Linked DNA regions of Rhinolophus ferrumequinum. The protein of the gene in region 3 purifies or fractionates together with the protein of the main gene of each other region. This does not show direct contact. Links are inferred from orthologs where the notes say so. Each region holds a gene or a part of one and is shown on either strand. Other genes may lie near its edges. The genes, in order: EXOC6B, RALB and EXOC8.

Region 1 (3,746 bases), on a different chromosome or scaffold from region 3:
TCTTTCATTTCTCTTCAGTTACTCAGGAACACCTAAGAATCTGGTGCCTTAAAAAATGCTACCCCAAAAGATGGAAGAAATAGGAAAGATTATGAAAAGGGGTAAAGGCGTTAACAGTTGAGGGTAAAGTTAGGGAACAGAGCCTAGTGCCTTAATCAAATCTGGTTAATGACTGTACTGTGGTGGAAAAACGGGATATAATGATGATGGAGGTGCATCCAGGGTAAAGCATGGATCTAACACATCAAGTCTGTGCATGCTGCTACCTCTGAACGGGATAAGGAAAAAAGCTGAGATCATCCCCTATGAATATGGGCAGAGACAAGCTGGACTGAAAACAAAGACGGGGGTAATAAATACTTGCATTATAGGACAGTCAAGTGATTGAGTCTTGGTTCTGATGATAAGATTTAGGTTTATCTGCCAAAGACAGGATGAGGCCAAAAATGAAGAGCCCCTGAGAATGATACAGGGAGTAAGGAAAAGCAGCCAAAACGGATAGGATAGTGCAGAGGTCTCTAACCCATTTTTCTCTTTACCAGATCCACTTAGGGCAAAAGATCCCTTCATCCATCTACCCCCACAAAACCCCACTTTCCTGTGGGAAAAGAACTCAGTGAGAACAATGAAGCAAATTTTAGGGGGAAACGGTAACTTATATTTGAGCCATAATGCAACATTCTTAAGTCAAGATACTAGAAAATTACAGGCCAAAATTCAGATGATACAAATATGCATTACTATTCAGCGGAGAGTTAACATAATAAATCACAACAAACTAAACTGATAACACGAAACTAAAGTCATTATCCTATAAACCAAGAACTACAGCAATTGAAAACCATAACCAATTGAAGACAACACTGATCGTGTTCTGAGAAAGAACACTTCCTAAAACCCCTGGTAATCCCATCTGCTCCAGTGGGAGCTTTGCTTGGCTGCCAAATGCAGCTCACCAGCCAAATTTCTTAGGAGAATACTGAAGCAGCATCTTCAGCTAACTTTAGTAACACTTTGTTTTATGAAAACCAAATACTAATACCCATTAATAATGCACTTAGAAGACTAGTAAGTAACCGTTAGTTTTTATAAAAGATAATGAAAAGAGGAGCGATCATTCACCCTGAAGAGCTCAGGAAAATGGATAGAGAGAGGAGCATGATGGTCGTGATCATCATGCAATAAGGGACAAAAGGCAAACTACTAGGAATGGTCACGTTCAGGGATGGCACTGGAAGAACTGTGCTAACAGAAGGAAGCTGTGCAGGGGGAGATAAGGGTCAAGTCTCCAGCCTGCCCCTCCTTGAAACACTCTTTCATGAGGCAACTCTCCCCATGAAAAAACAAGCAGTGAGTAATAACTCTCTTTTGAAGGGAGGAGCAGTGACCTAAGACTGGACAAGGTGGTTAAGACAATGATCTGTTGGCTACGTGGAGATCAGAAGGTACCACAGGAAGGAGGCAGATGAGTTAGTTCTAGGGCTCTAGGAAACCGAGGGGAAAGGAAAAGGTGGTTTGAAACTGGGCTAGGTAAGTAAGTAACCGGAAGTACAGGGAGATGGTAATCCAATCCCCAAAGGAGGCAAAACGACAGAGGTTAAGACTTCAGAGTCTGGATCCAGACTGCCTGAGTAGGAATCTCAACGCCCCCACTTTATTTTCTCAGTGACCTTGGGCAAGTCACTTAACCTCTCAGTGCCTCATCTGTAAAATGAAGGTAATAATAGGACCTACCGAACAGGATGGTTTCGCCGCCTGAATCAGTTACATTTGTAAATTGCTGAAGACAATGTCTTGCGCTGCACATAGTAAGGGGTACTTACGGGTTATTAAACCAATTGAAGTAGGTGGGGGTGTGTTTTGACATCTCCAAATAAAACGGGGGTGTGTGGGCAACGTGATGGTAACAGGGACGGGAGGGGGGTAACTTTTTCTCGGCGACGAGGCTCCCGCAAGGCAGCACCTTCCGGAGAGGTCGCCCTCCCGACAGGGTTCAGGGAGCAGCGGCTCCCAGGAGAGCGGCGCGGGTTGAAGGAAACTTCCTTCCTTCCTTCCCGGCCTAGGATTTTCAGGAACTCGTTTCCGAGCAGGGGTTGTGATTTCACCACGGCAAGAGTTTAATTTCCGCGCAACAGACCGGGGTGCAATTCTGTTTCGTCTGGACAGCAGGGCGTCTGTCTAGGACAGGACGGGGTTTGAGTCGGAGGGAGAAGGGTGATGTCCTCAGGGGAAGAGCTGCCTGCTAAGAGCCACCATCTGTCCGGCGCGCTCCAGCTGCCCGGAGCCAGGCTGGCCTCGAAGGAAGGGCGAAGGCTGCCCCGGCCCGGAGGGAGGCAAGAGGAGCCTTCGGAGGGTCTGGGCTGTGAGCCGGCGATCGGGCAGGGACCCCACGTCGGGGCGCCGGAGCGAGACCCGCCTCGCAGAGGGTGGAGGGCGCTCGCCGGGCTCGCCGAAGGGAGGGGCCGGCGCTGGCACTGCGGGCAGAAGGCCACACGCACGGTCCCGAAGGCGCCTGCCCCCCGCCCGTCCCACCCGTGCCCGCCGGTCCATGGCCCGGGCACCCCGGGTACCTGAGCGTGGGCCCGATGCAGGCCGTGTCGGTGCTCTCGATCTCTCGCAGGATCCGCTCGTGCTCCGCAGCTGTCTCCAGGCTCTCCGCCTCCGCCATCTTACCCCGATCCATAGAATGGGGGCGCCCGGCAGAGTGTCCCCTTCTTCAGATCAGCTCACCTTTCGCTCCCACTCTCACCCCAAGCTCCAGAGCCTCCCCAGCCTCTGGCTACCCGCAGGACGACCCCGCCCTCAAGCTCGGCACGCCCCCTTCGTCACTGCGTCCGCCGACATTCCACGCAATGCCTTCTGGGATTTGTAGTTTTCTGGGCGACGTCGGGTAGGGTTGCGTTCATTTATTCATTAAATCTGTAAATACGAGTGGAAAGCCGCCCTATAAGCCGGGAACAGTAAACGACAGCATGCAGCGGTGGTCAAGTCAAGCAATGGCACTAATCCCACACATTTTTGTTTAAGACCCTTGCCACAAATCTCAAAAGGCTCTATAGGCGCAAATAATAAGAAAGGACTGGGTTTCTGCGGACAGATACGTTAATAGCTGGGGGGTTAGGGGGTGCGGAGGAGAAAGCTGGAGAAACCCAAACTAAGAGGTAAGGCAGAACGTGGCTGTCAGCCAGTTCAGAGAATCGAGCCCAGAGATCACCTCTGGATGCGAAGGATTCATAAACTGGGCCTAGAAGTTTAAGCCGTGTTACTGGAAGGTGTGAGGAGTTCTCAGAAAGCCAGCAAGAACTCCATTTGCACTTATGTAGAAGAAGTAATAGTAAGAGATGGGCTGGAAAAGTAGAAAGAAATACTGGGCGGAGAAATTTGTACTTTATTCTAATGGCTTCACTGGTCCAACAACCAACTGTGTAAGAAACACCTAGAAACTTTTTTTTAAATACAGACTAAAGGTTCTACATCTGGACGTTCTGATCATGCATTTCCTAAACTCCCCAGATTAGAATTTAGAAATCATATTTATTGATCACTGTTGGAATTGTTACATAACACGATAAATGAGAATTCACTGAGGGTTTTTAAGAAGAGTGACACAATCAGAACCGTGGCATTAGGAAACACTCAAGATCAAGTGTTCAAGGTGGGCAGAAATAGAACATTTGCAGACAGGGAAACACTAGAGAAAAAAACTAAGGTCTAAACCATGGAAGTAGCAATGAGAATGAGAGAGA
Region 2 (3,746 bases), on a different chromosome or scaffold from region 3:
TGAGCTTTCAAAAAAGGTTTCCAACAATGTTTCCAAATTCTACGACTGGATAAGAATTTAGTAACTGAATTCAAAGAGGTATTGTGGGATTGAGTGATGTGGCACAAAGGATTATCTCAACTCTGGTTTAAAAATTTCCAGTCTCAAGCCATCTTCAGCCAAGGCAAGAACCTTAAAGAATGAAGGCAAGTATTTAGAACTTTTCTACTTCTTCCACCTTCTACCAAGATCCATTTAGATCCCATTTAAGGCTCTAATTCGTGTTTTCCTGTCTTTGAGTGTTTAGGTCCCACATTCCCAAAAGATATCTAATAACTATACCCCCACTTCTTCCAGACAAAATCCTGGGAAAGGTTCTACTCCTCAGGCATAGGAAAATCTTGCTGAGATCTCAGACAAGAGTACCTACTTTTCCAATGAGAAATAGTGTGAACAGAAAAGGAAGGTGTCATGCGGGGCGGCCTACGGGGCGGCCTGCGGGGTCTCTGCTCCCACTCCCCACATAAGAACGCAGGATGTGGCTAGGCCAAAAAGGAACCCCCACGGAGCCATAGGTAGGGGAGTCATACCACTATGGTTTCACCGGAGGCTGGATTCACACGTGCGACCTGCTGTCCGCTTTTCTGCCAACCGACCGACTCCCCCTCCCCAAAGCAGCGGCAGTTATATCGGTGGCCAACTGGCTAACCCCAACCGGCTACAGCTGACGGTCAACTAGCCACAGCCGACGGTCATCTACTACCCGAGCCAGCACCCCTCCATGTAAGGCCGAGAGCCTGGAAACTGCTCTCCAGAGCTTTGTCCCCACAGAAGGAAAGACCCAAATGTGGCCAGAGGAAAGTCGACTCACTGACTCGACTAAAACCACAGAGGGGATGTGTACCCCTGGCCTCATTCCCACCCCTATCTCCATCCCACCCCCACCTCCATCCCACCCCCACTACCACAAAGAACGCCTTAAACATTCCTGGCTCCTTTAAGCCCACAAGTAGGATAAATATCACCTTTTTACAGCTGTGGATTCTGCAGCACAGAGAGGTGAAAAGTCATACTCAAGATAATCAAGTTTCAGAACCAGCATCAAACCTAGGTCTTCACACCCTGCCCTCCTGTTCTTCCCAATATTCAATGCTACCTTCCACAGCCGTCCCATTTCTGGAACTTCGATATTCTATTGGTTCCAGGTCTAAGAGACATGACCTTGTTTCGAGCTTTAACATCCAAGAACCTTACTGCTCTGCTTAGAACATGGGTCATTTATGCACCTGAAAGGTATGCTGTCCTCTCTGATAATCAGTGCCCACTATCCATCTCCAAAACTTAACAAAAAGAAATGAGGTTAGGAAACTAGGACAAAGCAGGAAGTTCACTGTTCTACAAGGGTTCAAATCAAGTCACAGATGGCTCAAATGAACAATCAGCCAAGCCTCTTCCATTGGCAATTCTAAATCAGCAACAACACAAGACCTTCTCCCCAGAAACTCAACGATAACAACATCAAAGTTACGTTTCCAGTATTCACCCAAAAATTAGCAAAGAGAGGGACACTTTTAAACAAGTAGTCTGGGCGCTGCTGCTACCTCTGCCACTAGCAGTTCTGAAACAACCGTGGATAACCTTATTTATATACCTATAAAAGGGCAAGAAGAGAGGTGCTGAACCCTGGTCCAGGCAAACAGTTCAAGTCCATGGTGATTCCTATTAGAAGCCACGTTCAGTGCTAGTATGTATCATAAGGAAATTGGGGGGAGGGGTCGCAAAGAAACAACTTTATGCTCATGTGCAAGACAGAACCAAAAACAGACCCAGCAACTCAGCAACTTTTGGAACACGTCCCCTGTTCAGTCCAAGTTTTTAAGGTACTAATAAGTTTTTGCAACACTTTAGCTTTTATCCTGCCCAGAGCGCCAACTAAGGGGCTGAGGAAGTGAACAGGAAGTGGAAGCAGAGGCCATTTGTGGGAAAAGGGAAGGAGCGGCGAAAAGGGAGAGGCTGGGGCGCCGCCCCCAGTTCCTCAGCTCCAGACCGGTCTGGGAGGCCCGGAGGCTTTCTCCCGGGTACCTCCCGGGGCCGCTGCTCCAGCGTCGCCCTCCGCCGGCCTCGCGGCGCGAGGTATTCGACCGCCGGCCACAGCCCAGAGCGGAGAGCGCGGGGTCAGACGGACACCAAGCTCAGGGCGACGCACCCCACTTCCCCAGCCCGCGCCCCACCCCGCTCCGAGGGCTCCTGCCCGCGCGCGGACATTCTTACCTGGGCTCCGTCCGGCGCAGCCTCGGCCGTCCGCAGCCGGCCCGCCGATCTTAAACCCGCCCCGCCCTCTCCTTTGCCTCCTCCAGGGGCCGGACCCCAGCAGTCCCCAGGCGATTTGTCATCGAGTAGTCTGGGCTAGCTTCCCCACCCCCGAGCGCGCCCCCGGCGTCGCCTAGGCAACCCCACCTCTCGAGAGCGCGCCCTCGCTTCCGTGCCTGTCCTGGGTGGCCACGCCCACTGAGAGCCTATTACCCAATCCGAAGCAGAATTTCCAAGCCTCAGGAGGCTGGGGAGAAGGCTTAACCAATGATAAGCCACCTCAGGCGGGAGGGGCGGGCTCGGCACGCCTACACCGCCCCCCTCCAGTGCCTACTTTCCACCGCCGGACGAGTTGCACGTGACCACTGCTGTAGTGGAGGAGCCAGGTCTGGGGTCCCTGGGCGTGGGCGGCGGAGGGCGCGTCCGTCGTGAATTTAGATGAGGGCGAGACCAAAGTAGTGGAAAGTAAAAGGGAAGGACTGACCTGAGACAGAAAAGCAAGGAAAATGACGATGCGGCGCGCGGGTGTCCAAGGGTTCAGGTGGCCCGTGGGACGCCGGCCAGGGTCTCCTGTGGCGCGACCTCCGCCTGCCGCCACTACTCGCTTGGCTAATGACGTCTCATTAGCAGCAGTGGAGTTACTTGATCAATTCTAGCAATAACTGGACCCAGATTACAAGGTCAAGAATTCTAACCCCAGCGGTAGCCTTGAGGCAGGAAGTGCAGTGGGCAAGCTCATGCCCGACAGGTTTTTCTCTCACAACCTGCCCCCCGCCGGCCATCGGCCTCCAAGGCACGGAAACTTTTCATTTTCTGTCCATATAGGGTTTGACCTCGGGTTGATTTTCCTAACTAACCTCCCCTTCCTAGAGCTGAATCCTCCCACCCCCCTCCGCCTTCTCAGGATTTTGGCCCATCTGACCCCTCCGCAAACCTCACAGCGGGACACAGTGTATTACAATTCCTTGTTTAAATATCCACCTCTATAATTTCTGGGGAAGGAAAGTAGTGCTTGTTCAATTTGATACTCACAGCAGCTAGCACCATGTAATTAATTCTTTCGTTGTTGATAAGTACACATTAGGATACATGTGTATTATATGAGAGGCTTTGTGCCTTGATTAGATTGCTATGTATAAGCAACTAACAGATCCAGGGCTTCCACCAACAGCTTTATCAAAAAGCACAGATTTAACTTAGTCTTAACAGGCTTAACAAAAAAAACATGTAACCAGGATATGCTAGTCTTAGTCTACAATCTTAAGTGTTCTGTTTTTACCCTTTTCATATACATTAAAGACTTTTATTGCACACTAATTATAGGACAGAAATTCTGCTAGTTACTAATAATATAAGGGAGAGAAGTAGGAGGAGGTTTCTCAAAAAGGAAGCTCTCTGGTATTTATAACCTAGAAGAGAATTCAGACCCAAGACTAAGGATTAAGTGCACAGGTTTG
Region 3 (3,746 bases):
TGGAAGACAATCCGGTTTCGCCCTGTTCCTCCCGACAAGCTGTCGCCACTCAGCCAGATCTCCATTAACACTTCTCCAAAACGGTAATAGAAGCCTATATGGAGACCTGGACTTGAAACACAATTCTGTATCATATCTTAATCTGTTTTATTTTGTTTTGTAACAAAACCAAGCAGGATGGTACACAAGCGCATCTTAAACTTGTAACTGCGTTCCTGTACAAAGTAGGTTATTTCAAATTGGAATTTCTCAGCCTTAGTGTGTAGGAAAGGGATCCTTTTAGCGGCGTCCCTGAAGATTCCTGGGGTCCAGAAACGGGGCACGTCCACCCCGCCCACTACACAGTGGAGGTGCCCTAAGGAGCACCGCGGAGGACAGCACCCCGTCCTCGGCACTATTTCTTTGGGGCGCACCGGTTGCTGCTCCTTCCTGGGTCCTAAAGCACTACCGTGTGACAAATCAGATATGCGTTCATTTATTTTCAAATGAGGTAAGCGTCAAAGAAACGTTTTTTCTCACTGTATCCATTACAAGTCAAACGGTAGCGGGGTGGGCCATACAGCTTTCTTAAAGTTGTCTGAGAGAGAGGGGGGCAGGGAGAAACACACCAGAGGAGCTGTCGGGTCCAAAACCAGAACCCCTCGTTTAACGGACCCTGAAACCGTCGGGGCGGAGACAGAAAAGAATCCCAGGGCCGGGGCTGCGGGGAAACCGCCAGCCCGCCTCTCTTCCCCCGCGGGGCTCGGGACTCACATTGTCATGCGCAAGCTCCACTTCACTTCAACGGCCTCCAGCTGACCCCAGAAGTACTGGTCGTTGAACTGCATAAACAGGGCCTGTAAATTCGGGGTGGGGTCCACCAACTCCCAGGACGCGTCCACCAGGGACAGAGGCTCCTGGACCAGACCGTGCTCCGCGACCTCCAAGTTCCACTCCTCGTGAAGCCGTAACGCCAACACCAGGTCCTCATCCATCGCTGCCAAGATCCCAGGCGGGGTCCGCAGGCGTTAGGCTCGCCGCACGGCCGGGAGGTTCTGAGGGCCCCGTCGAACTCCTAGGAGATAACCGATTCTCGAGCTGCTCTCGCTTCAGCGCGCGGATCTCGCGAGAAATCCAGGAAAACTGCCTCGAGAATGAGAGTTGAGCTTGCCCCAAACCCCGAAGCCAAAACTCGAGGGTTTAATAAAAAGAACTCAGCACATCTCCTAGCGGGCTCAAAACTTGGGTTCCCAGGGCGTGGGGCTGAGGAAGGTTTCAGGAAGCTGGTTATTGCCTTTAAAAGACGACCACAACTTCCGACATACAGTCAGGCTCGGCGCATGCGCAATGCCTACTTCTCTGTGCCTCGCCCTCCACTAACTTCCGCAACCGCTCTTCTAGCGCAAGCGCTCAATGCCGGGGCGCTCCCGCGCAGGCGCACTGTGTGCACTTGGCCCCTTGCGCACGCGCACAATCTGAAGCTCAGACCCGGGCGCAGGCGTACTGGTCCGTCTTCAATCCTGCTTCCTCAGCCCTGGAGCTCCGCGGGGCCTGGGTGGGCCGGGACAGCGGCAGCACCGGCGGCGGCGACAGTGACAGTGACTGCGTGAGACTCAGACGGAAATGGCGATGGCAATATCGGACAGTGGGGCGAGCCGCCTGCGGCGGCAGCTGGAATCAGCGGGCTTTGAGGCGCGGTTGTACGTGAAGCAGCTCTCGCAGCAGTCGGACGGGGACCGGGACCTGCAGGAGCACCGGCAGCGCATCCAGGCGCTGGCGGAGGAGACGGCGCAGAACCTGAAGCGCAACGTCTACCAAAACTACCGGCAGTTCATAGAGACGGCCCGCGAGATCTCCTACCTGGAGAGCGAGATGTATCAGCTCAGCCATCTGCTGACCGAGCAGAAGAGCAGCCTGGAGAGCATCCCGCTTACCCTGCTGCCGGCTGCCGCCGCCGCCGGGGCCGCCGCGGCCTCCGGAGGGGAGGAGGGAGGAGGTGGCACTGGGGGCCGAGACCACCTCCGGGGCCAGGCCGGTCTTTTCCCCGCGCCGGGGGGTGCCTCCCGCGACTGTGCGGGGCCGGGCGAGGAAGGAAAGCAGCGCACTCTCACCACCCTGCTGGAGAAGGTGGAAGGCTGCAGGCACCTGCTGGAGACGCCGGGACAGTACCTGGTGTACAACGGGGACCTGGTGGAATATGAGGCGGACCACATGGCCCAGCTGCAGCGGGTGCACGGCTTTCTCATGAACGACTGTTTGCTGGTGGCCACCTGGCTGCCGCAGCGGCGGGGGATGTATCGCTACAACGCCCTCTATCCCCTAGACGGTTTGGCCGTGGTCAATGTGAAGGACAACCCGCCCATGAAGGACATGTTCAAGCTGCTAATGTTTCCCGAGAGCCGAATTTTTCAGGCGGAAAATGCCAAAATCAAACGAGAGTGGCTGGAAGTGCTGGAGGAAACCAAGAGGGCCCTCAGTGACAAAAGACGAAGAGAACAAGAGGAGGCGGCTGCCGCTCGAGGGCCGCCCCAGGTGACCGCCAAGGCCAGTAACCCGTTTGAGGACGAAGAGGAAGATGAGCCGGCCGTCCCTGAGGTAGAAGAGGAGAAGGTGGACCTCTCGATGGAATGGATCCAGGAGTTGCCGGAAGACTTGGATGTCTGCATTGCGCAGAGGGACTTTGAAGGGGCCGTGGACTTGCTAGATAAACTGAACCATTACCTCGAAGATAAGCCCAGCCCCCCTCCTGTAAAAGAACTGAGGGCCAGAGTGGATGAGCGCGTGCGACAGCTCACCGACGTGCTGGTGTTTGAACTCTCCCCTGATCGGTCCCTGCGGGGTGGTCCCAAGGCCACTCGCAGGGCGGTTTGTCAGCTCATCCGGCTGGGCCAGTGCACCAAGGCCTGTGAGCTGTTTCTGAGAAACAGGGCGGCGGCGGTGCACACAGCCATACGGCAGCTGCGCATTGAAGGCGCCACGCTGCTCTACATCCATAAGCTGTGCCACGTCTTCTTTACCAGCCTTCTTGAGACTGCGCGGGAATTTGAGACGGATTTTGCAGGCACTGACAGTGGCTGCTACTCCGCCTTTGTGGTCTGGGCGAGGTCAGCCATGGGCATGTTTGTGGATGCTTTTAGCAAGCAGGTGTTTGATAGCAAGGAGAGCCTTTCTACCGCCGCCGAGTGTGTGAAGGTGGCGAAGGAGCACTGCCAGCAACTGGGTGACATCGGACTAGACCTCACCTTCATCATCCACGCCCTTCTGGTGAAAGACATCCAGGGGGCTTTGCACAGTTACAAAGAGATCATAATCGAAGCCACGAAGCATCGCAACTCCGAGGAGTTGTGGAGAAGGATGAACTTGATGACCCCGGAGGCCCTGGGCAAACTCAAAGAGGAGATGAAGAGCTGCGGGGTGAGCAACTTCGAGCAGTACACAGGGGACGGCTGCTGGGTGAACCTCAGCTACACGGTGGTCGCCTTCACCAAGCAGACCATGGGCTTCCTGGAGGAGGCGCTGAAGCTGTACTTCCCCGAGTTGCACATGGTGCTTTTGGAGAGCCTGGTAGAAATCATCCTGGTGGCCGTTCAGCATGTGGATTATAGTCTCCGGTGTGAGCAGGACCCAGAGAAAAAGGCTTTCATCAGGCAGAACGCGTCCTTCCTGTACGAAACAGTCCTCCCTGTGGTGGAGAAAAGGTTCGAGGAAGGTGTGGGGAAACCCGCCAAGCAGCTCCAGGACCTGAGGAATGCTTCTAGACTCATTCG

What was found.
Region 1: the proteins of EXOC8 (region 3) and EXOC6B purify together in Homo sapiens (affinity purification with mass spectrometry; 3 studies listed by BioGRID and IntAct, counting the BioPlex papers as one, with this or other methods). This does not show direct contact. The link is inferred for Rhinolophus ferrumequinum from reciprocal best matches to the Homo sapiens genes EXOC8 and EXOC6B.
Region 2: the proteins of EXOC8 (region 3) and RALB purify together in Homo sapiens (affinity purification with western blotting; 6 studies listed by BioGRID and IntAct, counting the BioPlex papers as one, with this or other methods). This does not show direct contact. The link is inferred for Rhinolophus ferrumequinum from reciprocal best matches to the Homo sapiens genes EXOC8 and RALB.

The regions. Positions count from the first base shown.
Region 1 is NC_046296.1:18,747,108-18,750,853, reverse strand, and holds the start of EXOC6B (exocyst complex component 6B), read right to left. Parts: upstream 2,796-3,746; 5' UTR 2,684-2,795; coding exon 2,571-2,683; intron 1-2,570. UniProt on the Homo sapiens protein: Component of the exocyst complex involved in the docking of exocytic vesicles with fusion sites on the plasma membrane.
Region 2 is NC_046291.1:91,174,002-91,177,747, reverse strand, and holds the start of RALB (ras-related protein Ral-B), read right to left. Parts: upstream 2,398-3,746; 5' UTR 2,251-2,397; intron 1-2,250. UniProt on the Homo sapiens protein: Multifunctional GTPase involved in a variety of cellular processes including gene expression, cell migration, cell proliferation, oncogenic transformation and membrane trafficking.
Region 3 is NC_046310.1:25,594,266-25,598,011, forward strand, and holds the start of EXOC8 (exocyst complex component 8), read left to right. Parts: upstream 1-1,474; 5' UTR 1,475-1,602; coding exon 1,603-3,746. Other genes in the region: DNA-dependent metalloprotease SPRTN, read right to left, coding at 754-974. UniProt on the Homo sapiens protein: Component of the exocyst complex involved in the docking of exocytic vesicles with fusion sites on the plasma membrane.